Linked DNA regions of Rattus norvegicus. The protein of the gene in region 5 purifies or fractionates together with the protein of the main gene of each other region. This does not show direct contact. Links are inferred from orthologs where the notes say so. Each region holds a gene or a part of one and is shown on either strand. Other genes may lie near its edges.

What was found.
Region 1: the proteins of Lin28a (region 5) and Upf1 purify together in Homo sapiens (affinity purification with mass spectrometry; 3 studies listed by BioGRID and IntAct, with this or other methods). This does not show direct contact. The link is inferred for Rattus norvegicus from reciprocal best matches to the Homo sapiens genes LIN28A and UPF1.
Region 2: the proteins of Lin28a (region 5) and Dhx57 purify together in Homo sapiens (affinity purification with mass spectrometry; 3 studies listed by BioGRID and IntAct, with this or other methods). This does not show direct contact. The link is inferred for Rattus norvegicus from reciprocal best matches to the Homo sapiens genes LIN28A and DHX57.
Region 3: the proteins of Lin28a (region 5) and Rrp12 purify together in Homo sapiens (affinity purification with mass spectrometry; 3 studies listed by BioGRID and IntAct, with this or other methods). This does not show direct contact. The link is inferred for Rattus norvegicus from reciprocal best matches to the Homo sapiens genes LIN28A and RRP12.
Region 4: the proteins of Lin28a (region 5) and Ythdc2 purify together in Homo sapiens (co-immunoprecipitation; 3 studies listed by BioGRID and IntAct, with this or other methods). This does not show direct contact. The link is inferred for Rattus norvegicus from reciprocal best matches to the Homo sapiens genes LIN28A and YTHDC2.
Region 6: the proteins of Lin28a (region 5) and Ddx28 purify together in Homo sapiens (co-immunoprecipitation; 3 studies listed by BioGRID and IntAct, with this or other methods). This does not show direct contact. The link is inferred for Rattus norvegicus from reciprocal best matches to the Homo sapiens genes LIN28A and DDX28.
Region 7: the proteins of Lin28a (region 5) and Dhx36 purify together in Homo sapiens (affinity purification with mass spectrometry; 3 studies listed by BioGRID and IntAct, with this or other methods). This does not show direct contact. The link is inferred for Rattus norvegicus from reciprocal best matches to the Homo sapiens genes LIN28A and DHX36.

Annotation. Positions count from the first base shown.
Region 1 is NC_086034.1:19,109,306-19,113,337, forward strand, and holds the start of Upf1 (UPF1, RNA helicase and ATPase), read left to right. Parts: upstream 1-1,232; 5' UTR 1,233-1,512; coding exon 1,513-1,728; intron 1,729-4,032. UniProt on the Homo sapiens protein: RNA-dependent helicase required for nonsense-mediated decay (NMD) of aberrant mRNAs containing premature stop codons and modulates the expression level of normal mRNAs.
Region 2 is NC_086024.1:20,509,299-20,512,798, forward strand, and holds part of Dhx57 (putative ATP-dependent RNA helicase DHX57), read left to right. Parts: intron 1-1,035; coding exon 1,036-1,132; intron 1,133-2,225; coding exon 2,226-2,399; intron 2,400-3,450; coding exon 3,451-3,500. UniProt on the Homo sapiens protein: Probable ATP-binding RNA helicase.
Region 3 is NC_086019.1:250,652,519-250,656,540, reverse strand, and holds the start of Rrp12 (RRP12-like protein), read left to right. Parts: upstream 1-1,222; 5' UTR 1,223-1,313; coding exon 1,314-1,452; intron 1,453-2,012; coding exon 2,013-2,242; intron 2,243-4,022.
Region 4 is NC_086036.1:37,515,862-37,520,085, forward strand, and holds the start of Ythdc2 (probable ATP-dependent RNA helicase YTHDC2), read left to right. Parts: upstream 1-1,424; 5' UTR 1,425-1,603; coding exon 1,604-1,802; intron 1,803-3,065; coding exon 3,066-3,156; intron 3,157-4,224. UniProt on the Homo sapiens protein: 3'-5' RNA helicase that plays a key role in the male and female germline by promoting transition from mitotic to meiotic divisions in stem cells.
Region 5 is NC_086023.1:151,514,385-151,517,884, forward strand, and holds part of Lin28a (protein lin-28 homolog A), read right to left. Parts: intron 1,677-3,500; coding exon 1,492-1,676; intron 1-1,491. UniProt on the Homo sapiens protein: RNA-binding protein that inhibits processing of pre-let-7 miRNAs and regulates translation of mRNAs that control developmental timing, pluripotency and metabolism.
Region 6 is NC_086037.1:50,819,143-50,822,741, reverse strand, and holds Ddx28 (probable ATP-dependent RNA helicase DDX28), read left to right. Parts: upstream 1-1,168; 5' UTR 1,169-1,178; coding exon 1,179-2,801; 3' UTR 2,802-3,099; downstream 3,100-3,599. UniProt on the Homo sapiens protein: Plays an essential role in facilitating the proper assembly of the mitochondrial large ribosomal subunit and its helicase activity is essential for this function. May be involved in RNA processing or transport. Has RNA and Mg(2+)-dependent ATPase activity.
Region 7 is NC_086020.1:149,041,392-149,045,674, reverse strand, and holds the start of Dhx36 (ATP-dependent DNA/RNA helicase DHX36), read left to right. Parts: upstream 1-1,483; 5' UTR 1,484-1,559; coding exon 1,560-1,778; intron 1,779-4,283.

The DNA.
Region 1 (4,032 bases), on a different chromosome or scaffold from region 5:
CATCTTTTTTGTGTTTTGAGATTATGTAATGCTGGGTGTCCTGGACATCGCTCTGTAGACAAGACTGGCTTCAGAGTTAGCAATCCCCCTGCCTCCGACTCCTGAGTGCTTGAATTTTAAGGCACGTGCCACCACATCCAGCCCTGTACTGACTGGGAGAGCCACCTCAGCAGAGGCAGCCACCCTCCTGGGTTTTCCCCTCCCAATAAATCTCCTATGAGGTTTGTTGTGTGCTGTGACTTTGTTGTATTCCTTGGCTCCCAATTGCCAGGATACCTTTTGGAACACAGTGAAACACTTTCTCTGGGGAAACCTCCCCTGCCCAAGCAGAGCGGATCCACTTCTGTGGGGGAAGGCCTTTCCCTTCAGAGCTGCGACACTTACACATCCTCCACTGAGAGTGGGAAGGTAGCACAGGGAGGAAGGAGTGTGTTCCTCTGAGTCTCGATTCTGGCTGTGGATGCTCATCAGTTGGTGGCCTTTGCCTAGCATACAAAAGCTCTGGGTTCTGTGGACAATATCGAATGTACAGTCATCGCACCACCAGGGGCTTTGAGGCAGGAAGATTCCCCAGAGTTCCAAACCAGCCTGGGTTACTATATGAGGCCCTCTTTCAAAACAGGCTAGAGAGATGGCTCAGAGGCAAAGAATTGGCTCCCAGCACTTACAAGAGGGGCTAACAATCATCTGTAACTAGTTCTAGAGGATCTGACCCCTTCTCAGCGATTCCCAGGCTAGCCCGGACCAGTGGGACTTGATCTCAAGATAAAAGAAAGAAGCAGTTATCTTCACAGGCTTCAGGAGTGCCAGGGGTAGCAGTGACTACCATTTGGCAGAATCCCTGCTCTCTACTCATTCAATCGATGAATAGTAAAGATGGCCACGAGTCAAGTGGCAGACGGGGTAACTAGAGCTCAAGGAAGGCAGATGCGCGGTCCCTGTGCCACAGTTTCTACACCCAAGACCTTCTGGAAAGAGCCTCAGTTAGCACCTAATGAACATGCAGCCCAGAAGCCTGGCGGTGAGGATGTCGCAACCCCGCATGCGCATCACTAGGCAGCGGTTGGGGCGGAGCCAAGTTCGCGAGCCCAGGTCCTTTAGGCAGTTGAAGGCCCGCCTCTTCGCGCAGGCGCACGACGAATTCCGCCCTCCCGCTCTGCTCCTAGTGCCCCGGTGCGGTTGGCTACTTTCCGGGAGGGACGCGCGCGCCTGCGCCGGCGTCGGGCTCGCGCACGCGCACCGCAGCGGTGGCGGCGGCGGCGGTTCCTGTCCAGGGGGCTGAGAGCGGCGGTCGGCTTTGAGGCGAGCAGCGTTGCGGAGGGGCGCGGCAGCGGCGGCGGCAACTCAGAGCTCGGAGCCGGAGTCCGGGCTCTGCTTCCAGAGGCCGGCTCGGAGCCCGCCCGGTCCTCAGGGCGGCGGCAGCGGCTGCTCCGGGTTACGGCCTAGGCCTAGGCGAAGCCTCGGGCTCGAGTGCGGTGAGGCGCCGGCGGAAGGCGCGGCCCGGGCGGCAAGATGAGCGTGGAGGCGTACGGCCCCAGCTCTCAGACACTCACCTTCTTGGACACTGAGGAGGCCGAGCTGCTCGGTGCCGACACCCAGGGCTCCGAGTTCGAGTTCACCGACTTCACCCTACCCAGCCAGACGCAGACGCCCCCCGGCGGCCCCGGCGGCGCGGGAGGCCCAGGCGGAGCGGGTGCAGGCGGCGCGGCCGGCCAGCTCGACGCGCAAGTGAGTTGAGCGGCGCATGGCGGCGCCGGAAACCGGGCGGGAGCGGGAGCTGCGGCGCCAGGTCTCAGTTAACCAGCCCTGGGCCCCTGTGAACCTGCGCCAGGTCCGAGTTTGTGCTGGTCCGAGCTACCGGCCCCAGGTCCAGTTAATAAGCCTGGGTGTATGCTTCCTACTCTGGCTCCTTAAACAAAATCCCTATTGACCATCTCTAGTTACCCACCCTAGATTCCTGTTTAACTGCCCAGGTACCTGCCACCTGCCTTGGGTCCTTGTTACCTGTCCTAGATCTCTGCTACCCTACCCTGGTTCCCGTTTACTTACCCCTTTCCCAGATCTCTGCTTCCACCTTCAGCTACCTTTTCCAATACCTCTCCCAGGTCTACCTGCCACAGTCATTGCCATCTGCCTCAGGTCCCTACTACATACCATCTCCTCTAATTCCCTGCCTCTTGTCCTAGCCACCTGCACCTAGTCTCTGCTACCTGTCCTGTTTTCCTCCACCCAGCTAGACTGGGCAGTGACCTGCATTAGTGTCCCTCCTCCTGTATAGCACAGAATCTGCTCCAGCTCAAGGCTTATGCCAGAACTGCCCTCACTCCCCTTCTAGGTGGGTCTAAGGTGACCTACACTAGGTTTCTCTGGCCCTAGTGCTATCCTCTGGACCCACACTGTCCTCCAGGGTCACCTATTTGGCTAGTCCAACCATCCCATCTCACCCTCTTGCCACTTCCATCCACCACGCCTCCAGCCAGGGTTCAAGTTTGGTGGAGGGGCTCTCTGGAGCAAATCTAGGGTTTTGGCGCCTCGGGTGGAAACAGCCCACTTTGTGGCTGGTTAAGGTGGCTGAGAGACAGCTGCTGGTTCGTTTTTTCCTTCTGGGTTGCCTGTTGCTGAGACCAGTGTTATGTAACTCCTAGGCTCTGCTTGGAAAAGTTGGGTTTGAGTTTTGTTCCTTAGAGGCAACCACAATGGGTATCACACGGGTGACTGTGCCCTGGGGAGGGGCTTTTGTTTTGAATGACAGACTGTCGGTGTAGGCTAGGGACAGGCCATCCCTACCTCCCTGTCAAATGGCTGGCTTGGTGTTGGGCACCTCTAGGCTTTGTTTTCCTGTATTCTCCGGGGAGCTGCCGACTAGAGCCACAGGTGTTCTTACAGTCCATGTGTGTGCTTAGGGCTAGGGAGCCACCACCAGTCTCCAGCAGTGATCTCAGACCGAGTTCCGGGAGGGCCTTCGAGCTGGCTGGTTGAGTCATATTTGTGGGTAGACCACCCACTTGGGCTCATTTTCAGCCCTAATAGGAGAAGAAGGCTGAGTCAGCCCCTACTGCGGTGCAGGATCAGGTGTGCCTGCGTGTTGTTTCTAGCTATTTACCTTTAGCGTAAGGAGGTGGAGAGAGGGCAGGTTGCCTGGAGGAGTGAAGTGGCCCAGAAGGCCAGTCCTCCTGTTAGTTTCCCCACTAGGTAGACCTACTTACCTACCTTCCTTCCTTCCTTCCTTCCTTCCTTCCTTCCTTCCTTCCTTCCTTCCTTCCAGCCTTATGGGCCTGGAGAGGGGCACTGTGCAGCAGGCTGTGATGGCACAGCTGGGGAGACCAGGAGTGGAAGTGGGGTGCTTCATCTCAAGGTCTTTTAGCTCTAGCTAATGTACAAAGCAGACTTGTGCTATGCGTGTGCTCACATGGGTGTGCCCTGCTCCGCCAGTTGAAACCATAGATTGAGCCATGAGCTGCCGCCCACCTGTGGCCTCTCATCATAAGGGAGGGAGGGAGGGAGGGAGGGAGGAGGGAAGAGATGGAGGAAGGGAGGAAGGGAGAATGGGAAGGAGGGAGGGAGGGCCTTCAATCCTGTATTAGGAAGACCTGTATCTGTGGGCAGAAAGTGAGCAAAATTGGAAAGTGGAAAAAATCCTTTGCACACCCAGTGTCCTCAGCCACCAAAAACATTGCTTTTCGTTATTTATCCTTGGAGGTGAATGGGTCACACAGGGGATCCTAGGAGGATAGACCCCCTACTCAGTAGGTTGAGCTGCCCCTGTGGGCTGCTGGCAGTTCTCTTCTGGCTTTATTGAAGCAGAATCATGGAACCTGCATATATCCCTGGAAAGCTGACAGGACAGTGGCCTTTTGGGCCACCATCATTAATACCAAGTAATGTCTCAGCATCCTGAGTCCCTGTACCCCCAGCCTCTCTCTTCAGCCACCAAGAATCCTGTGGCCTCTGTGGATGTGAATGTCTCAGGCCCTTCCTTTGCTGGATAGATGGCATAGTATACTTGTCCTGTGTCTCTCATGTTTGTGGTTC
Region 2 (3,500 bases), on a different chromosome or scaffold from region 5:
GCCAAATAAGGTAATGTGTGTGAGGAAAAAAATCTCTGTGCTCTTTGGCCCTCCTCTATTTTTGTGATGATTTGGACTCCTTCCTAGTTTCATGGGGAGAGAAAGCCATGACTGTAGGTACTGAGTTCCGGAGATGTGTTTAATATCCATGCTGCACGGCTGGCATGGGCATCTGCTTACCTGTGTGAGGCTGAGGGACACATTAGTGAGGAGGTGACCTGCCTCTTCCATGAATGAAGCACAAGAGAAAGCTGGGTGTGGAGGCTCAAGTAGCCCCAGTACTTGGGCCACTGAGGCAGGAGACTCAATACCTGAGCTCAAGACTGAGTCTCAAGACCACCTGAACTACCAGGTGAGATGCGGTCTCAGCCACAGAAGTACCTGGGAAGGGACTGCTGCCAGGACAGAAACACGCTACGACCTCCTGTTGTTGCTGATTGTCTTTAGTGGACATGCTAAAGGCCATCAGTGGTTAGTAAGACGTGACTAGTTAATTTACTAGCTCTTTCAAATGTGTCTAAACTTAACCGATCAGACTTCTTTGTTTGTTTGTTTGTTTGTTTGTATCGTATCCAGTAAAATGTCTGGATCTCATTAACAAAGGAATCTTCTGGTCTACAAGGTTACTTTTCTACAGTAGAAACAGGTATCAGTGGTCAGGATACTAAGAATACTGGAGAGCTTAGGTGGGTCTGATGTGTGCAAGGCATTTGCTTCAGTTCTCAGATGTTTCTGTACACACACACACACACACACACACACACACACACACAGAGTGTGCTCGGTGAGTGCTTCTTGTATAACTCAAAGCATGCTCTTCTATACCTCAGTTTTCTATTGGAAAAAGGTAATACTATTTTTTCCTTATTAAATCAGAGTATATACAAAAGTGTGATTTCATATTTGTTTAACTAATAAGGCTTTACAAAGAAAAACTGATAGTGTAAAGTTATCAGTTATTGGTTTTAAAACGGTCTTGTGATCTACATTAGTTTTCCTTGTTTGTTTATTTATTTATTAATTTTTTATTCCCAGGTGCTATACTTGTGTTTTTACCAGGGCTAGCGGAAATCAAGATGCTTTATGAACAGCTACAGTCTAACTCTCTCTTCAACAACAGACGAAGTCATCGGTAAGCCACTCGCTTTCTATCCATAGATATCACTGCAGCCACCTCCAAAGATGAAGAGCTGAAGGCTCCCTGTGGTCCTCACCCTCCTTAGACTGTCGTGTCACCTCTCAAACATTGTTTGTTTATGCCAGCTTGAAATGGGATGCCTTTGTGCTCCAGAAAATGTTACTCCATTCCGTCAAGGGCAGACTTTTCTCTTCACTTATCATAGTGACTCAGCAAATCTGCATGCAGTTTCAGTTGCCAGATTCCTGAGGAGGGCAGCAGGCTGGGGAAAGCCAGCATTAATAATAACAAAGAAATGCTGCCATTTTGAGAGAAAACAATTTTCCGCCAGTCACTGGGTATGCTGTCACATACAATGAATATCCTAGCTGCGTCACACTTTGCCCTCCCACCCCTACCCACCTGGACTTAAGGCAAAAGATTATTCTTTGCTGGTCAGTTTTTTTTAGGTGTGTTACTTATAAAGTATCAATCAATCTTGGTGGTTTACTCCTGAATAATCCCAGAACTTTTCCCAGGTTAGCACAAGGTTTGTGTTTCTGGAAGGTTGTATTTTGTGAGAACAGAAGGAGCCTCTCACCTCTAAGAGCTGGGCCTTGAGGGCAGTGCTTAAAAGTGTCAGACGCTGTCTTAGGGTTTCCATTGTTGAGAAGAGACACCATGACCAAGGCAACTTATGAGGGACAACATTTTACTGGGGCTGGCTCACAGGTTCAGAGACTCAGCCCATTATCAGCATGGCAGGAAGCATGGCGGTGTACAGACAAAGTTGGTGCTGGGGAAGGAGCTGAGTGAGGGTTCTACATTGTCATCCAAAGGCAGCAGGAGGAGAGGGGCCTCCCCCACATTGGCAGTCTTAAGTATACAAAGGAGACTCAAAGCCCGGCTTCCACAGTGACAGACTTCTTCTAAAAAGGCTACACTTCCTCCAATAAGGGCACGCCTCCTAATAGTGCCACTTCCCAGGGGCCAAGCATAGCTAAACCGCCATAACTCTTGGTCATTCAGTTAACTTCAGTAGACATTTACCTGCAGGTCAGTTTCAGTGCTTGGTGCAGACTCCTTACTGTGCTTCACTTCCTTTTAGGTGTGTCATTCACCCACTGCACTCGTCGTTATCCAGTGAAGAGCAGCAGGCGGTGTTTGTGAAACCCCCACTAGGTGTGACTAAGATTATAATTTCCACCAACATTGCTGAGACTTCCATAACCATTGATGACGTCGTGTATGTCATCGATTCTGGGAAGATGAAAGAAAAGAGGTATTCTTTTGTGGTGAAGTGACAGAGGGACTAACCTCCTGTAGGATAGCACAGCTGTTAATGGTTCCTGCCAAGGTACTCTTTAAAGGAACATTGTATATGGTTCCATGGCCAGCGTGAGGAATGTGCAAGTCAAACAAGCATGCAGAATCACCAATAATGGATTCATTTTCCCATGTGATTTTTCTTGTGCTTCGATGAGAAGAAAATGGCTAAAGAAAATGTGTGTGGTGTCTGATGGACCTAAATCATCACGGCACTAGTTACCCCACAGTCCTACAATAAACCAGACTGTAGATCCTGAGTAGGGTGGCTGTCTTACATAAGGAAGACCACTTGTCCGTGCCCAATAGTCTTGACATTCTTTTTTTTTTTTTTTTTTTTTTTTTTTATAAATTTATTTATTATATATACTATAGCTGTCTTCAGATACACCAGAAGAGGGCATCAGATCTCCTTACAGATGGTTGTGAGCCACCATGTGGTTGCTGGGAATTGAACTCATGACCTCTGGAAGAGCAGTCGGGTGCTCTTAACCGCTGAGCCATCTCTCCAGCCCTAGTCTTGACATTCTTAAAAGTAACTCAGTAAAGTATTTGCAGGAACTGTGTTCAATCCCCAGAACCCATACTTAAGAAAGGAAGGAAGAGCTGGGCAGTGGTGGCACACACCTTTGATCCCAGCACTTGGGAGGCAGAGGCAAGTGGATCTCTGTAAGTTCGAGGCCACCCTGGTCTATAAAGCAAGTTCCAGGACAGCCAAGGCTACACACAGAAACCATGTCTCAATAAAAGGGAAAGAAAGAGGGAGGGAGTGAGGTCGAGAGGAGGGAAGGAAGGAGAAAAGAAAAGAAAAAGCTAGATGGGGGGCATGCACCTGTGCCATCGGCTCTGGGGAAGGAGAGACAGGAAAATCAGCCAGCCTAGCCAACTGGGCAAGCTCAGGCCAGTAAGAGAGAGACTGTGTCTGAAGAACTACAGCCTGGGTCTTCTCGGGCTTACACACACATGCGCACAGAATAACTCCCTCTATATTTCCTCTTCCTCTCTAGATACGATGCCGGCAAAGGGATGGAAAGTCTAGAGGACACTTTTGTGTCTC
Region 3 (4,022 bases), on a different chromosome or scaffold from region 5:
TTCTGTCCCCAGCTCCGAAAAAAAGAAAAAAGAAAAAAAAAAAAAAGAGCACTGACTGCTCTTCCAGAGGTCCTGAGTTCAAATCCCAGCAACCACATAGTGTCTGTCAACCATCTGTATGGGGATCCGATGCCCTCTTCTGGTGTGTCTGAAAAGAGTAACAGTGTACTTACCTACATAAAATAAACAAATCTTTTTTTTTTTTTTTTAAAGATACTGCTCTTGGAGAAGACCTGAAATCGGTTTCTGGCAGCGCACCAGACAGCTCGTAACTGCCTGTAGCTCCAGCCCCAGGGTATCTGATGCTTCTGGCCTCCACGGGCACCGGAAATCATACCATCTCACAGGTGTACACATAATTTAAGAAATAAATCTTTAAGAAAATAGTACTAGCCGTTTTCCAAAGTGCCCATGTAAACCTTTCACTCCAACAGCAGCACATGGAGACAGTAGGGACAGTAGGGCTGTGTCCTTGCCAGCTGCTCCTTCAGTTGTGTCTTTTGGACGGATATTCCTTGTGGTTTCAGTTTGCAAAGCAAGAGTAGGGCACTACTTGTTGCTTTTTTCTCTAGAGAGGTGAGGCCAAGATGTTTTCATTTTTATACCTCCATAGTTTTTGACTTTTGGGTTTGGGTTTTTTTCCATTAACTTTATTATGTTTTTTGTTTGTTTGTTCGTTCTGTTTTTTTTTTTTTTTTTTTTTTTGAGACAGGTTCTCATTGTGTAGTCCTGAATGTCTTGGAGTTCACTATATCAATATATAGACTAGGCTTGCGTTGAAATCACAGAGATCAACCTACCTCTGTTGCCTAGGTGCTGGGATTACACATGTATTTATTTTGTTATTTTTGTGTTTAGACAGGCTCTTGCATTTCGCAGCGTAGAGAGTAGGCTGGCTTTAAACTCATGACAATCCTCAAGTTTGCTGGGATTACAGGCGTGCCGACACCACGCTCCGCTTGAACAACCGATTTTTTGAGAGTAATATAAATTTGTCTTTTTAATTCCAAAGAAATTCCCGTTGTATAAGGCTTTCTCCACGACCATAAACCTTGACGGTGCAGCAGGAGCCCAAAGCAACCGAAACGCCAGCACTCTTTTCTGTGTAAGAACTCAGAGCAATCAGGGAGCTTCAGACCGGATGTTGATTGTTTTTGCCGTGGTAACAAGCTGGAGACAGGAAGTGACATCAGAGGAAGAGGACGCGGAGCCGGCTGAGAATACACACGTGGGTTCTGCTGTGAGTTCTGCTGTCTCTTCGGCGTGGTTGTTCGCGTGTTCTCTGAGCAAGTCCGAGCCACCGTTTGGTCAACATGGGTCGCTCGGGGAAATTGCCATCTGGTGTCTCGGCCAAGCTGAAGCGCTGGAAGAAAGGCCACAGCAGCGACAGCAACCCCACCACTTGCCGCCATCGCCAGGCCGCTCGCAGCCGCTTCTTCAGCCGCCCATCAGGTAGCCCGGCCGTGGGATTCCTTGTCTCGTGGCATTCGGCCTGCCACATTAGAATGTCAGCCTTGGGGCTCACATCGAAGACCCGCCCCTCGAGTTTGACAGATGCGGAAACTGTCCTCTAAAGGGAAGTGACTTGTCTAGGATACCGCGGCCTCAGGGTTGAGATACATAATTGTCACTACCCTTGGGTGGCTCTTTAGATTTATGTATGTGTTGAGGGAGTGTAAGGGAGAGAACCCACGACCTTGTGCACTCTAACTAAACACTCAACTACTAACCCACATCTTCAGCCTTAGGATGTCTCTGTACAGTATGCGACCCCGGCTCTGGATGTCTCAGTGCCTGAAGTGGAGGGAAGCAGAAACAGATCTTGGGGGTTCCTTTCTCTTGGCTTCAAAAGTTGCAAGAGTGCACAAGGCTGTGCAGGCAAGCCGGGTTGGGAATCCAGCCGCTGGGACTGGGGTCTAAGCCCTCTGGTTTGTTTCTTAGGGGTTCGGTTCCTTCAATCAGAGGAAGCTTGGGTGGAAATGGGGACATTACCTTGTTAATCTGGTTCTCAGGGAAGAGCGACCTGACAGTTGATGCCGTGAAGTTGCATAATGAGCTGCAGTCTGGGACCTTGAGCCTGGGCAAAAGCCAAGCCCCTGAGACGACCATGGACCAAGACCCGGAGGTGGCTTTCACTGAGAAGTCCTCGGGCACATTTCTGAGTGGCTTGTCTGACTGTACAAACGTCACCTTCAGCAAAGTGCAGCGCTTTTGGGAATCCAACTCAGCTGCTCACAAGGAGGTAGGAGATTGGTTACCGGCTTTGTGGGGCAGTAGGCGGGGCACATTCAGGACTTCTTACTTACAGCTCTGGTGACAGCAGCTGGTATTTCTGGACGATGGGTCATCTCTCGTACCCTTTGTGCCTTTTTTATAGACTCTTCTTGGGCAGAGTCCCCCTAAAAACATGTGTGGTAATGTTCGTATGTCTTTGAAAAAAAATTTTTTTGAGACAAGGTTTCCATATGTAGACCAGGCTGACTTCAAGTTCACAGAGGTCAATCTGCCATTGCCTTTCAAGTGCTGTGGTTAAAGGTTTGTGTCATGCTCAACAAAGCATATTTATTTATTTATTTATTTATTTTTAAATTATTTATTTACTATATATGAGTACACTGTAGCTGTCTTCAGACACACCAAAAGAGGGCATCAGGTCCCATTACAGATGGTTGTGAGCCACCATGTGGTTGCTGGGATTTGAAATCAGGACCTCTGGGAGAACAGTCACTGCTCCCAACCACTGAGCCATCTCTCCAGCCCTATTTATTTTTTTTTTTTTAAAAGAAGACTTTTTATTTAATGTATATGGATAGCTGTCTTCAGGCACACCAGAAAAGGCTATCAGACTTTATTTCAGATGGTTGTGAGCCACCATGTGGTTGCTGGGAATTGAACTCAGGACCTCTGGAAGAGCAGTCAGTGCTCCTAACCACTGAGCCATCTCTCCAGCCCCAGTATATTTATTTTTATTGTGTGCCAAGGCATGTATGAAGGTCAGAGGATGTTAGGGAGACCTTTCTCTTCCTTCCACTATGTAGGGCTCAGGGTAAAAAACTTCACTGCTGAGTAAAAATCCTTGAGGGTAGAAATGTTTTCACTGCTTATCTCCTCAACTGTACTTTTTTTTTTTTTTTTCTTTTCTTTTTTTTTTTTCAGAGCTGGGGACCGAACCCAGGGCCTTGTGCTTGCTAGGCAAGCGCTCTACCACTGAGCTAAATCCCCAACCCTCAACTGTACTTCACACAGCAATTCTTACATGTTATATCCAGGGACACCACTGTTCACGTTCATGGTGACTAACCGTGGTTAGGATTCGTTTTGTTTAGCAAGAAATGTTTTACTTAATTGACGTTTCATAGTTAATATGCTTATACTTTTCATTGTCTAAATGAGGAATAGCAAAATGCTAAATGATACAGAGATATAAAGAGACCAAAATATTATAATTATTCTCCCAATTCGATAACTCCAGTGGGTGTTGTTAATGGGTGAGTATGTGTATTTCTAGACTAGCACTGCCCAGTTTGTGATGTAAAGTGAGCCACAGGTATAGTTTTACATTTTTAGGAGCTGCATTTAAAAAGTAAAAAAGAAATAGGTGAAATTAATGTATTTGACCAGTATGTATAAAATATTAGTATTTCAACAAATTTGGTCAATTTTTATGTTACACTCTGTTTTTCATTTATTTCATTTCGGTTTATGTGTGCATGTGAGCCCTATCTCCTGGAGTTGGAGTTGGTTGTGAGCTACTCAGTGTGGGTGCTGGGATCCAAACTCCCGTCCCGTGCAACAGCAGCAAGAATTCCTAACCACTGAGCCATGTAGATGTGCAGCCCCATCAGTCAGGATTTGTTGTGGTTGTTTTCTTTTTAAACTAGGGTCTCACTCTGTACCCCTGAAACTTGATGTATAGACCAGGCTAGCCTTGAACTTGAGATCTATACGGCTCTGTCACCCAAGTGCTGAGATTAAAGGTGTGTCACTGCCTGATGACAAGGTCTTTTAGTGTAGCTCAGGTT
Region 4 (4,224 bases), on a different chromosome or scaffold from region 5:
TACTCTGTATAGCCATGGCTGTCCTGGGACTTGCTCTGTAGACCAGGCTACATGAGAGAAAATTACTCGTGTGAAGGAATGAGGACAATTCAAGATAACATTCATTTTCTTAGTAGTTTATAACTTTTGCAAGAGAAAATAAGATACTTTCAAATGTTGCAAATGATAACACAAGATTTGAAAGCATGCCTGTGTAAGGGCCACAATTATGTTTTAAACTATGGTACAGAGGAATTCTCAGAGGAAGACTGCCTTCTCCAAGACAAAAACCATGCAAGACAAAAACCAAACAACAAAATTAAGTGTATCTGAGCAGTGTGAGGGTAAGTGTTAGCATCACCGTGAGTGTAGGTATCCTAGAAGATCTTGAGTGCTCTTGATATTGAGAAATTTATGGTTTGTTCTAGTTGCAGAGGAGAGAAACTGGAAGGCTGCATATGAGGGCATCTTAGTACACTCTGGTTCTCATTTTGAAAAAAGGAAACAATCATGTCTGTTGCTCTTCGGAGAGTGACAATAGTGGCACTACAGTGGAAGCAATTCAGGTCATTGGAATTAGATTTATGTTCATAGGACTCTATTTGAACCAATGGCAATTCTCATAATCTTCCCAACTCCTTTTTTGTTTGTTTTTTGAGACAGGGTTTCTCTTATAGCCTTGGCTATTCTAGAACTCACTCTGTAGACAGGGCTGGCATCAAACTTAAGAGATTCACCTACCTCTGCCTCCCAAGTTCTGGGATTAAAGGCATTTGCCACCTTCTGTCCCCAACCCCCCCCCCTCCTCCCGCAACTCTTGATAAGTTCCTCCTTAAACTTAATCTTGCCACAAAACATAACTATTCTCATTGCTATGCGTTCCACACTCACGATGGGCTGTTACCTAAAACAGTGAACACTTTAATAACTATCATATAAGCATTTTTCTTTTAACGTTTAAGGACTGTTACCACTTTTTAGGGTTTCGAGGTAAAACACAGTTAGATCTTTATTTCAGGTAACCAAGTTTTCAATGTGTTTCAGAATGAAAGACATACATTAAGAAGTTAGTCGTTACTTAAAATCAAACCAAGTGGTCTACTCACTGTACTTATTTGACCCACTGGACCACGAACCTCAGAATTGCGGTAAAACCCTTGTTTCCAGAGTGTTCGAGTTTGTGAATCAAGCGCTGGGCAGAAGCCCGCTCTGAAGAAAGGAATGAAGCATTAAATGATCCAGTGGATAACCGAATAATATGTCCTCCAATTTAATGATATTTTTTGACAACCAAAGCCTCAGGGTCGTGAGGACCGCATTACAGCCTCCAGGGACCGCATCCCCCGGGGCTGCTCCAGCATAGTCAGAGGTCCCGCGTTCTGGGGCCGTGCGCGGCGCTCACTCTTGACGTCATCACCCGCGCACCCAAGGCTTCTCTGGGCTGTAGTGGTGCCAGCGCTTTCGCTTTCACCGCTACTGTGAGTGACGCTTTCCCGCTAGTCTCTCCCGGCGTTGACTTTCTAGCGGTAGGTCCGCCGCGCTCCCACGGGCTCTCTGTCTCTGTCACTGCTCGCTGGCAGCAGGCCTGGCCGCTCCCACGCGGAGCGAGCTTCTCCTCAGGGCCATGTCCAGGCCGAGCAGCGTCTCGCCGCGTCCGCCAGCTCCTAGCGGAGGCGGCACCGGAGGCGGTGGCGGCGGCCCGGCTTCGTGTGGTCCTGGAAGCGGTGGCCGGGCCAAAGGCCTCAAAGACATTCGTATCGACGAGGAGGTGAAGATCGCTGTCAACATTGCTCTGGAGCGCTTCCGATACGGTGACCAGAGAGGTGAGGATTCTGACGGGGGACCTTGCGGGCTGACACCCGCCCCCAGGCCCGCCCCTGATGGGCAGAGGAACCCAGAGCCGGGCCGCAGAGGCGAAACCAGCGCCGTCTAGTGACTGTTGGTCACCGAGTGGGAAGCCCAGTGGGTCGGTGAGTTTAGGGAGGATAGAGAATCAGAAGTTAAGGCATCAGAAGGTGGAAAGGCTAGGTTACTCCCAGGTGGGAAAATGTCCTCAGGTACTTTTCTGCAACCCAAGGCTGCTAAGTCAACGTTATTTTTTTTAAGGAGTTATTAAGCCCCCACTGTCTTCCTCATTATTGAGGTGTAGCCTTATTTTAAGCTTAAAAAACTTCAGAGGAGGCTTTGAATTTATTGTATTTATAGACTTTATTGAAATTCTAGATGCATCAAATCAAACACAAACTTGTGTGTTTTGTACTTTATCAGGTCAGATACCTATTTAGTACAGGCCTCATAATATACAACTGAGTTTACTGTTGAATGCTCATTTTAATTTGCTGGGATAGCTAGTAGACCCTTGCTGCTGAGGCTTATTGTCTGAAAAGGTTTTGAACATATATTTTTAACAGCAGCAAAGCCTTGGCAAAATGTCACAACAAATCCAGTCTGAAATATTGAGGAAGAGCCCTCTACAGTTTTGAGAACAGAAACATGGGAGTTTCAGTTTGAGAATTCTTAATGCTTGAATGAACATACCTCATTATTGAAGGAAATAGAATTTTGTTAAGCAAGGCAAGAATAATTTAAATTGATAAAATATGTCCATAGTTATATCGATCTCAACACAGGTAGTAATCTTTGATGAACTTTCAAGTCCTTTATCATATTTAGGTTGTATGTGTAACTTCATAATATCAGAATTCTGGGCTGAAGAGATGGCTCAGTAGTTCCTCTTGCAGAAGTCCCAGGTTTGATTCTCAGCACCCGATGATGGCTCAAAACCATCAAGTCAGCTTCAGGGGATCTGATGCTTCTTCTGACCTGTGGTCAGTGCACATATATGGTTCTCTCTCTCTCTCTCTCTCTCTCTCTCTCTCTCACACACACACACACACACACACACTCTCTCTCTCTCTCACAATTAAGTAAATAAATATTAATAGTTAGTATCAGAATCCTATTAGGTGTGAGTTACTGAGTAAATACATTTTTCATATAAAATGTGTAATTTGATTTATACTTATATGTATTTTTCATTTTTATACCTGTAATTGTCTATAAGTGGAACCTTTTTTCCTATGTAGAAATGGAATTTCCTTCTTCTCTGACCAGTACGGAAAGAGCTTTTATTCACCGACTAAGTCAATCTCTTGGTTTAGTTTCTAAAAGTAAAGGGTAAGTGTACAACTTTTCTTACTTTGTTCAAAAATATTTACTACAGAAAAGTATGCATGTGTCTGACTACATTTAAATCATTGTTTCTGTTTTAACTTTACATTCTTATAAATAGTATGTATAGATAAACTCGTTTAGGTCTATACCAAGATCAGCTTTTCTTCTTCCAATCCACCTTACCTCCCAGGTGCAGAACATACATAAGTTAGCTCCTGGGATGCAGCTCATCTTGTAAAGCATCTGTTGTATAAGCCAAACAACCTGAGTTCCATCCACAGAACCTGCCCTGAGCAAAGAGAGACAAGTAAAGCTCACCGTGGTTAAAACAATGGTAACTACGTACTCCTATGGTGAAATGGGAGCAGGAGACTGCAGAATGGGCCAGAAGTTTACACAGAGGTAGAAATAAGAGAGACCGAGCCTTAAGTAGGGGAAAGGAGAGAATGGACTACTAGTAGTTGTTCAATGACCTTCCTGTGGATCCCCGAATTTATACATGTTCAGAAGTATAAATATTTTTAAAAGGTGAATATAGTTTCATTTTTCATGTTAGGTTCTTGGTCTGTAAATGACAGATACTTTTCAGTGGAAATGTAAACTTGAACCTGCTTATTTATAGACACAGATGTAGTCTGTTAGAGAAGTTTTAGTTTGATTTATCAGTTTGGTTTTGGGCTTCAGGAAAGACCACTATTTATTCAGTTTTGTAATCATAGCCTCTACCATAGTGTCTGGTGAAAGTTCATGAATTATGAGTATTTTCAGAAAAAAAAAATTAGGCAAAGGTAAAACATAACAAAGCTTCACAAGATATCTTTGGAGAAATTAAAGCATCTTGGTATCACGGACATGTTAAGAGATATTAACCAGGATACAGTGTTATAGAATTAAAATGATATACTTTTGATTATATAGTTAATTAAAAAGACCACCAACCTCAAACTTCTTTTGTCATGCTTATTTCATTCCAACATTATTTCTATCCTGTGTGGTTAAAATTTTATGAAGTGAACAGCACAGGGAAATGAATAGTTGCCCCTTTATGCACCGAAATTTCAGACAATGAGG
Region 5 (3,500 bases):
CTGGGATTTGAACTCAGGACCTCTGGAAGAGCAGTCAGTGCTCTTAATTGCTGAGCCATCTCCACACACTCCCTCCCTCCCTCCCTCCCTCCTCTTCCCCTCCCCCCTCCCTCTCCCTCTCTACCTCCCTGTCCCTTCTCTTAAGCTCACTCCCTGTCCACAGTCCACAGGTTCCTAGCTTGGCTTTAAGGCCCATCCTCACTGTTTAGCTCTTGTTTACATAGTAAACAGGAAGCTCTTGGGGTTAGTTAAAGGCGCTTGCTAGGGCTGAACCTCAACACAAGAAACAGCTTTCTCCAGTTCACAACCTCAGGGTTCCCAATGTGATCCAAATATCCTGCAACATTGTAGATGATCCTCCAGTTAACAACTTGAAAAGCTGAAGGGAACACAAATAGATCACAGCTGTGAAGTACAGCTTGCGGGCGGGCGAGATGAGACTGCCTCAGTCTTCTGTGAGGGAAGTGCTCTTAACTCCTGAGCCATCCCTTCAGCCCTGTTTACCTGTTTATTCATTCATTTTTTTTCTTCTTTTTTTCGGAGCTGGGGATTGAACCCAGGGCCTTCAAGCGCTCTACCGCTGAGCTAAATCCCCAACCCCTATTCATTCATTTTTAAGTCAAGGTTTCACTCTTTGCTCCTGCCTGACCTTGAACTGGCGGAGGTTCATCGTTTGCCTGTCTCCTGAGTCCTAGCATCATAAGCTTGTACCACCTAACCTGGCTAAAGAATGATCTTTTTGTTTTGTTTTGCCTTTTTGTTTTTTTGACACAGGGTTTCTCTGGATAGCCTTGGCTGTCTTGTTACTCCCTCTGTAGACCTCAAACTCAAGAATCCTGCCTCTGGGGGCTGGAGAGATGGCTCAGCGGTTAAGAGCACTGACTGCTCTTCCAGAGGTCCTGAGTTCAATTCCCAGCAACCACATGGTGGCTCACAACCATCTGTAATTAGATCTGATGCCCTCTTCTGGTGTGTCTGAAGACAGCTACAGTGTACTCATAATAAATAAATAAATCTTTAAAAAAAAAAAAAAAAAAAAAAGAATCCTGCCTCTGCCTCCTGAGTGCTGGGATTAAAGGCATGTGTGACCATGTCAGGCTAAGAAAAAAATTTTAAAGCCAAATTATATTATCTCTTCAGAGGCTAAGAGGTTCTAAGCCTCATAGCAAACTGCAGAGGGTAGCCAATTGAAGCTCCAGTCCTGTGGATCCCCAACATACCATCTCACCTCATCACACACAGATCTGCATTATAACCTTTGCTTCTTTTTTTTTTTTCTTTTCTATTTTTCGGAGCTGGGGACCGAACCCAGGGCCTTGCGATTGCTAGGCAAGTGCTCTACCACTGAGCTAAATCCCCAACCCCATAACCTTTGCTTCTAATGTCCTTGTGACCAGTGCCACACTTCACAATGGTTAGTCTCACAGCTTACGTTACCTTTGGCAATGGGATCTCAGTGGCAGTCGAGTGGCGCTCCCCTCCTGGCCGTACCTGTCTCCTTTGGATCTTCGTTTCTGCATGCTCTTCCCCTTTGGCCGTCGCTCACTCCCAATACAGAACACGCCACCAGGGCCAGTGACGCGGATGGACTCTAGACCCTTGGCAGACTTCTTAAAGGTGAACTCCACTGCCTCACCCTCCTTGAGGCTTCGGAAACCTTCCATGTGCAGCTTGCTCTACCAGATGGAAAGGCGAGATTTTACTATTTGCCTTCATTACTGAGCCAAAAAACAGAACTGCAAACCTATGACGTGTCCCTGTGAGACAGGAAGAAAAGTGACAGAACTCCTATCTCACAGATGAGAGACCCCAACGCCATCCGAGCCCAGTGTGGCAGCACACGCCTGTCACCCCAGAGTGAGGCCAGAGTGGACCACACGAGGAGACCTATCTCAAACGACAAAACAGAACCCCTCTCCACCATAAGTGAACCGTCCCTTCTTAGGAAATACACATGAAAAGATTTAGAAACATACTGAACGCTGTATTTACAGTCACTAAGATGATAAAACTGGCCATGTTTGGTGGTACAACCCTTTCATCCCAGTACTTGGGAGACAAAGGCAGATGGATCTCTTAGAGTGAGGCCAGTCTGACATTTACACACACACACACACACACACACACACACACACACACACACACACACACAGATGCATTTCAGGCCAACATAGTGAGAACCCTCCTGAACCAGCCACTCCAAAAAACAAATAAAACCGAACAGAAATAAAAAAAATACAATAACCAGGGCAAAATCTGGGGAAGAACTGAGAAATTTTGTCTATTCCTATAATCTTTTAAGTTTGAAATCATAAAGACAGTGTTTCTGAAAATTGAAGTCAGTTTCATGATAAGGATTAAAATGGAAGAGATTCCAGGAATCCTCTGGTGTATCTGAAGACAGTTATACAGTGTACTCATATGCATAAAATAAGTAATTTTTTAAAAGATTTATTTTATGTGAGTACACTGTATATTGAGGGCATCAGATCTCAATACAGATGGTTGTGAGCCACCATGTGGTTCCTGGGACTTGAACTCAGGACCTCTAGGAAGAGCAGTTAGTGTTCGTAACCACTGAACCATCTCTCCAGCCCCAATAGACAATTCTTAAAAGAAAAAAAAAGGGGGGGGGGGTTGGGGATTTAGCTCAGTGGTAGAGCGCTTGCCTAGGAAGCACAAGGCCCTGGGTTCGGTCCCCAGCTCTGAATATAAGAACCAAAAAAAAAAAAAAAGAAAGAAAGAAAAAAATGTCAGACAGACAAACCTACAAAGAGCTACTGCCCACTTGGAGGAAAAGTGCACAAATAAGCCTCTGCCCACCCTGCAATCCCAGCATTCAGGGAGCCTGGACAGAAAGCACCAGCTGGGGCTGCAGGCCAGCCTGGGCTACATAGTAGCCTCAAGGCCAGAACACTTAGAATGGCAGATCTACTTTAAAAGTTATATTAAAGGGCTGGCAGGATGGCGCAGTGGGTACTCAGTTGCTGCCAAGGCTGAAAACTCAAGTTTAGCTTCTGGGATGCACATGAGGGAAGGACAGACTCCCCCTAGCTGTCCTCTGATTTCCACATGCACACTGCGGCATGTGCCCCTCCCCCCAAATTTAAAAAGCATGAAAAAAAAAATCAACAAATTTATTTATTTATTTATTTATTGGTTCTTTTTTTCGAAGCTGGGGACTGAACCCAGGGCCTTGCGCTTCCTAGGCAAGCGCTCTGCCACTGAGCCAAATCCCCAACCCCAACAAATTTATTTTTTATGCCACACTTTGGTACCTCTTTTTTGGCACATTTTTGGGATGAATTAATGAAGTATGGGTTTGGATTTGTGCCCTCTTTTTTTGCTTGTTTTTAGAGACAGGGTTTCTCTGTAATCTTAGCTGTCCTCACTCTGCAGACCACGCTGACCTAAACTCTCAAACAGAGACCCACCTGGCTCTGCCTCCCAAGTGCTGGGATTAAAGGTTTTGACACCACTGCCCTGTAGGTTTTGAGTTT
Region 6 (3,599 bases), on a different chromosome or scaffold from region 5:
ATGTAAATACTTGGTATACTGTATTGTTAGGGAGTAAGTTCAAAGAAAAATGCATATACATATTTAGTACAGACACAATTTTTCATGAATATTTTCATTTTACAGTGGAAAAATCCACAGATGTCCACCTAGTGAATGAAATTAAAACACTTTCTCCAGATGTTAGGAACCTCCTAAGTATTCAGTCCACAAACATTGACCTTATCTCCCACTCCAGACACTTGACATCTGACGCCCATATTTTTTTCAGATGTGTTCAAGAAGTATGAAGTAAAATAAATAAATAAATAAAAATTTAATAACCTGAACCACTATTCAAGTCAAGTAGTCTGCTTGATCAGCACTATGTGAAATAAGCTTTCATCACTTCATAAGGGTAACGGGACCCTTTCTTCTTTCTACTTCTAGTCAGGCAATTTAGAATCTGCCTGAGAAGCCAGTGGGATATGAGCAGACTCTAAGAGTGGTTGAGTCCAGTCTGAGAATCATGAAGGGGTGACAAGGAATGGAGAATGAAAAATCATGAAGGGGTGACAAGGAATGGAGAGTGAAACTTGCCTGGAAAAGAAGTGTAAAAAATGAGAAACTACACCTGAAAGAACTGAGACCATCTCTCTCCCTTCATAGACGAAATATGTTGAAGACCACCAGCATGCACTCTGGGTTCTAGAGAACAGGGCTGAGCCTGGACCCAGACTTCCAACTTTTGCTTCAGTCCCCAGGCCTATCATTCATTCAGACTCTCGGGAAACTTGCATCACCGAGGTTTTGAGCGATGCGCATATCTACATCGTCGTACTTTGTACCCTTGAAGTTCTATGGAATAACAGGTCGGGGCAATGACGACCACAGGTAAGATATCAGAAATTAAGCACTCAGTTGACAGAGGCCATCCTCACTCGATTCCTTGAGCCAGGGACCCATGTCCCCCTCCTATTGCGGACTCCCACTCCTTCTTCCACCGAGTACCCGTCCCCAAAGATGACCCCAGTCTGGACATCGCCCTGCCGGATGGAAACCTACAGACCTCACAGCCACTGAACTCTTAAGGATCCTCCCTCCTTCCAGACGGTACTGCAGAGCCACACGTGACACTGATCTGCGCCAGCCACCGTATTTCAGACTACAGTCGCGTACGTGACGTCACTACCATGCGCCTCTTCTGCATCAAGAGAAATATGGCTTTAGCCGGGCCAACGCGGCTATTATCATTAGCAGTCCGGTTGCTTCTGGAACCTCGACGGAACATAGTGTTGCGCGGTTCCGACCAGTCCTTGCCTGTTGTGCGCATTCCGCGGGCTCTGCAGCGACGGCAGGAACAGCGACGGAGCGACCGTGGGAGTTTCCAACGGCCGGTGCTAGTGCAACCTGGTCCACTCCTGGTCTCGGCAAAGCGGCCAGAGTTGAACCAGCCCGCACGCCTCACGCTGGGCCGTTGGGAGCGGGCACCACTGGCTTCGCGTGGCTGGAAGCATCGGCGATCGCGTCAGGACCATTTTTCCATAGAGCGAGTGCAGCAAGAGGCGCCCGCCATGAGGAACCTCTCGTCCCGGGGCAACTTCGTGGACCTGGGTCTAGAACCCCGAGTACTGCTCGCGCTTCAGAAGGCTGTCCCCGAAATTGTTCAGCCAACCTCCGTGCAGTCGAAAACCATTCCCCCACTGCTTCGCGGCCGCCACATCCTTTGCGCTGCTGAAACCGGTAGCGGCAAGACGCTTAGCTATCTACTGCCCCTATTTCAACGGCTCCTAAAAGGGCCAGAGCTGGACTCCCGCAGTTCCACCGCTCCTCGAGGCTTGGTTCTGGTACCTTCCCGAGAATTAGCCGAACAGGTGCAGGCAGTGGCCCAGTCATTGGGTAGGTACTTGGACCTGCAGGTTATAGAACTTGGCGGAGGCCTGGGAATGAATAGGCTCAAACTTCAGCTGGGTAAATGGCCGTCAGCAGATGTGCTAGTGGCTACTCCAGGGGCGCTGTGGAAGGCTCTGAAAAGTCAACTGATCAGCTTACATCATCTTAACTTCATAGTGCTGGATGAAGTAGACACGCTGCTAGATGAAAGCTTCGTGGAACTGGTGGACTACATCTTGGGAAAGAGCCCTATAGCAGAAAGTCCAGCTGAGTTAGAAGACCCCTTTAATCCCAAAGCTCAGTTAGTGATGGTGGGAGCCACATTTCCAGAAGGCCTAAACCAATTGCTGAGTAAAGTCACCAGCCCAGACAGTCTGACCACCATCACCAGCTCCAAGCTCCACTGCATCATGCCTCATGTCAGACAGACATTTATGAGACTAAAGGGAACAGAGAAGGTGACAGAACTGATTCAGATCCTCAAACAGCATGACAAAGCAAATAAGGCAGAACCCTCGGGAACTGTCCTGGTATTCTGCAACAGCGCCAGCACCGTGAACTGGCTTGGGTACATTCTGGATGACCACAAAATCCAACATTTAAGGCTGCAAGGGCAAATGCCAGCCTCAATGAGGGCAGGTATCTTCCAGAGTTTCCAGAAGGGCTCCCAAAACATACTTGTCTGCACAGACATTGCCTCACGAGGCCTAGACAGCATCCACGTGGAAATGGTTGTCAATTATGATTTTCCCCCTACTCTGCAGGATTACATCCACAGAGCAGGAAGGGTGGGTCGAGTGGGCAGTGAAGTGCCGGGGACTGTTACCAGTTTTGTGACCCATCCCTGGGATGTGAGCCTGGTTCAGAAAATTGAACTGGCAGCTCGTAGAAGGAGAAGCCTTCCAGGACTAACATCTTCAGTGAGGGACCCATTGCCTCAACAAGACTGACTTTTTTGGCTGACTTAAACCTACAATAGAGCAGGGATCTTCTTGGAGGTCCAGGAAAGTTGAACACTTGTCTTTTGATGACATTGGGTCATACCAGCCCCTCGCCTCTCTGCAGTATAATGAATTGTTTCGAGATCTGAAAAATAAACTACTAGACAGGAATGGAGAGTAACATTCAAACAATAAAGTGGGGGGTTGGGGATTTAGCTCAGTGGTAGAGCGCTTGCCTAGCAAGTGCAAGGCCCTGGGTTCAGTCCCCAGCTCCGAAAAAATAAAAAATAAAGTGGATGTTGACTTTACATAATGTCATGGTTTCTTTTTCTTCTAATTGTATGTGTGTGTGTGGAGGTCAGAGGACAATTCTGTGTAGTCAGTATTCTCTTTCCACCTTTTTGTGTTCCAGGGATCTAACTGAGATCATCCTGCTTGTTTGACAAGTGCCTTTACCCACTGAGCTATCTCAATGGACCACACATCATGAGTTCTAAAAAACTATTTGTATGTGTGTTTTGAAACAAGTTGGCACTGTATATCACACAATGGACTTGGTCCCTAGTAATCTTCCATTCTTTTTTTTTTTTTAAAGACAGGGTCCCTTTCCTGGTGGTGGCACATGCCTTAATCCAGTACTCAGGAGGCAAAACACAGGTGGATCTCTGAGTTCACTTAGCTAACAGTGGTTTTGTGGGGACAGCCTTAATAGTAACCACCATTTGAAGAGAATTCAGTAGATTTTAATGATTTATACTCTACCACATGGGATTTGTTGGCTTGGGTTGTGTTGCTTTGATTTTTTTT
Region 7 (4,283 bases), on a different chromosome or scaffold from region 5:
CCTTCATTGAGTCTTGAGAGTCTCTCATCTCCTGGATCTCTGGTACTTTCTATAGGGTCCCCCCAACTCCCACCCCTGAGGCTGAATATTTCCATTCATTCTCCTGGTCCTCTGGGCTCCTCTCCTGTCCCTCCCACTCCCTGATACCTGATCCTGTTCCCCCTTACCCCCCTCCTCTCTCCCAGGTGTCTCTCTCCCTTTGCCTCCCAAGATTTTCTTCTCCCTCCCAAGTGGGATTGAAGCATACTCACTTGAGCTTTTCTGCTTGTTAAACTTAAGTTCTGTGGGTTGTATCCTAGGTATTCTATACTTTTTGGCTAATATCCATTTAGTGAGTACATACCATGCATGTCCATTTGGGTCTGGGTTATTTCGATGCTCAGGATGATATTTTCTAGTTCCATCCATTTGCATGCAAAATTCATGATGTCTTCATTTTTAATAGCTGAATAGTATTCCATTGAGTAAATGAACAACATTTTCTGTATTCATTCTTCAGTTGAGGGACATCTGGGCTGTTTCCAGCTTCTGACAATTACAAATAAGGCTGGTATGAACATAATGGAGCATGTGTCCTTGTGGTATCTGCATCTTTTGGGTATATGCCCAAGAGTGGTATAGCTGGGTCTTCAGGTAGAACCATTTCCAATTTTCTGAGAAACCTCCAGATTAGACACAGATAACCTATGCTGGCCTCAAATTCATTATACAGCTAAGGATGACATTCTGTTTCCTCTGCTTCCATCTGCTGTTTGCTGAGATTACAGGCCTGCAGAACAATACCATTTATACTGTTTGGGATTGAAATCATGCCATGCAAGTACTCTTATCAACTGAGCTGACACCCAAGTTCCCATAATAAATAAATAAATAGATGATAGATAGATAAATTTTAAGATTTTTTTTATGTATATGAGTGCACTGTAGCAGTCTTCACAAACACCAAAGGAAGGTATGGGATTTGATTACGGATGGTTGTGAGTCACTATGTGGTTGCTAGGAATTGCACTCAGGACCCCTAGGAAGAGCAGTCAGTGCTCTTAACAGCTGAGCCATCTCTCCAGTCCCAGTATTAAAGCCTCTTTAAAGAAGACATTTCGGTGTATATACTGATTTGAGTGAAAGAGGTGCCAGGCGGTTTCTAAGAAATACGAACTTCTTTGGTCTTTGAGGAGAGTACACAATGGTCGATTCTTTTGTTTGCTATGTTCTTACTATCCATGACCTTGCAAACAAATTCTAGGTTTTAACAAAGTAGTTAAAATTCACTCAAATTTCCACATTTTCTCAAGCTGGGTGAAAACCCATGCCGTCCCAAAGACCGGATCCCACAGGGGACCTAAGCTTCCGACCAGAACGCGGACAAAAAACTTCACCGCAGGTCACACTTTCTGGCGCCGTTCGTGACGTCACCGGAAATGTCTGCTTGTGACACTCAACGGCCCGCCCTCTCGCGCTGGGCGCCGGAAGCAAAGCTGAGGGTAATGTGCGCCCGCTTCCGGTCCTGGGCGCCATTTTCAGCGGTTGAGTTTTGGTGGTACCTGTAGTCGTCTCGGACAATGAGCTACGACTATCATCAGAGCTGGAGCCGCGACGGGGGCCCACGGGGCTCCGGCCAGGGCTCTGGCGGCGGCGGTGGAGGGAGCCGGGGCTCCGGCGGCGGCGGAGGGGGCCGCGGCGGCCGGGGCCGGCATCCGGCCCACCTTAAGGGTCGCGAGATAGGCCTATGGTACGCAAAAAAGCAAACGCAGAAGAACAAGGAGGCTGAGAGACAAGAGGTATGAAGGTCAAGTAGGGACGCGTTTGCTCGGTGCTCTCGCCGACTCTTAACTCTTCCCTGGCGTTTGCTGGAGCTAGATGTAACGTCTGCCGAGCCCCTGTAACGGGGTGTCCGGTCGCCGGATGGTTCAAGCCATCACTGCTGCAGCCGATGCATGCTCTGTTTAAGGACGTGAGAACTGAACTGGGGGTGAATGCTAAATTCAGATTCCAGCCGAAGTTGACTTTATTAGGGGATATCATTCATTTAGAATACTTACTGTCATTTTTAAGTTCATTCCCTGGAGCAGCCAACAAAAGCAGTAAAACACTGTGGATCTTTGAGGAAAAAAGTAGTTTAGCTACTAGTATAAGCATTTAAAGTGAGTCACATGCTCGTCTTTTCTTCTCCCTTTCTGCTCTGAATTTTCTGTTGACTAAAAGTTCTTTAAGACTTAACGTCCTTGAAAGGAAGACCCTGTAGAGAAGTATTTGGCTAATCTCATCAAGGGATTGTCAGTTTGGTTTGTATCTTGAAGTAGTATAGGAAGCATCGTGTTTTGTTGTTGTCTGTTTTGTTTTCCTCGAGACAGGATTTCTCTATGTAGCCTTGGTGTGCTGAACTTGCTCTGTAAACCAGGTTGGCCTTTAACAACAGATCTGCCCACTTATGCCACCCCAGTGCTGCATAATTAAAGGTGTGCATCACCAAGCCAGCAAGCATAATGTTTATTGAGTGGTCTGTTCTAAATAAATACACATTAACAGAATCTTTAAAGTTTTTTTGAGTCTAGTTCATACATGGTTTTTGAATGGAAAAGACCTTTGCATTCTAATAGGGGGAAAGAAATATCTAAACAAGTAAGTTAAATAAGTAGACGGTATCTTTCCAGATATATGCAGGGCACACTTGTGTATTGGATATCGATGTTTAGTGCAGGCTGACTTTGTACTCCTAGTCCTCTTTCCATGCCAAGTGCTGGGATTTCATATATGCACACCTCGGAGGCAAGGCTTTTACTAGTTGACCTCTGAATCCGAACCCCACTCCCAAACTTGCGTTTTAGCAAATGTCAGTGTTGTTTATTCAGTTGCCATGTGGAAGTGAACATTGATTTTTCTCTTCCATTTTGGTAAATGTTTGCTCTGCTCTCTTATTTATCGCTGTAGCAATTATGGGTCAGACCTCTAAACTATATATATATACATATATATATGTATATATATATGTATGTATATATATATGTATATATATATGTATGTATATATATATATGTATATATATATATATATATGCATGCCCCATGGTGGTCTCTTAGAATTATAGACGCCAGCCTGGCCCCATGGTGGTCTCTTAAAAGGTGGCCTCTTTAAATGATCTAATTTAGATCATTTTAATCTTTAGTTCCCAACTTGCCTCTCTTTAGTGTTTTCTGGGAATCGTGTGATCTGGCTGTAACATAACAGGCTTCCCTCCTTGGGTTAATCTTTCTGAGCTCAAGCTCTGAGTCTGATATAATCATAGTTTGACTAACATTATTTCTGCTCCTTATTAAATTTTATACCATTTTTCTCCCTAAAATGAGTCTTTGAATTATCTTTAAGCATGTTTTTCAGTTGTCATAATTCTTTTCAGCACTTTTAGCTTAATATGAATTTATCCTAGAATTTCCATAGTTTTTACATTAAAATAAGCCTCATACTTGCAAAATGAAAGTACCCTAGTGGATCCTCATAGTTCTATCCATATATATGTATGACAAACTTAATTTTTGGGATACTACTGTAGTACCTAATTTATAAACTATTTTTTAAAGATTTATTCATTTATTATATATAAGTGAACTGTAGTTGTCTTCAGATACACAAGAAGAGGGCACTGGATCTCTTTACAGATGGTTGTGAGCCACCATGTGGTTGCTGGGAATTGAACTCATGACCTCTGGAAGAGCAGTCGGGTGCTCTTAACCGCTGAGCCATCTCTCCAGCCCGTACCTAATTTATAGAGATAATGTATGCTAAGGGCCATAGACAGAATGCTATGTTACTAAGTAGCGAATATAGACTGTCTGTTCAAATGGAAGCATCTTAAAAGCTAGAGAGCTTGACATTATTGGGCATATAAGTGAGGATTTCTGGATGGTTCTGATAACCTAGAGCAGAGGTTCTCAACCTTTCTAATGCTGTGACCTTTTAATATAGTTCTTCATGCTTTGCTGAAACACCTTAAATTTATTTTGATGCTGTTTTGTAAATATCTGTGTTTTCCATTCCATCTTATGTGACCCCCGTGAAAGGGTCATTTGACCCTAAGGAGTAAGGGCCTGTGGATGCTATTGAAATGAGGGTACATAATGAAAAGAATGGCCTACTTCTGAAAGCAACAGACCTTGTTTCTCAAACTTGAATGTGGATAGGATTCACCTGGCACCTTGTTTAAGTATATGACTGGGACAAGCCAGAGAGTCTACAGACTTCCAAATGATGCCAGTGCTCCTTGGTCTGTAGATCATTTGAGCTGTAAA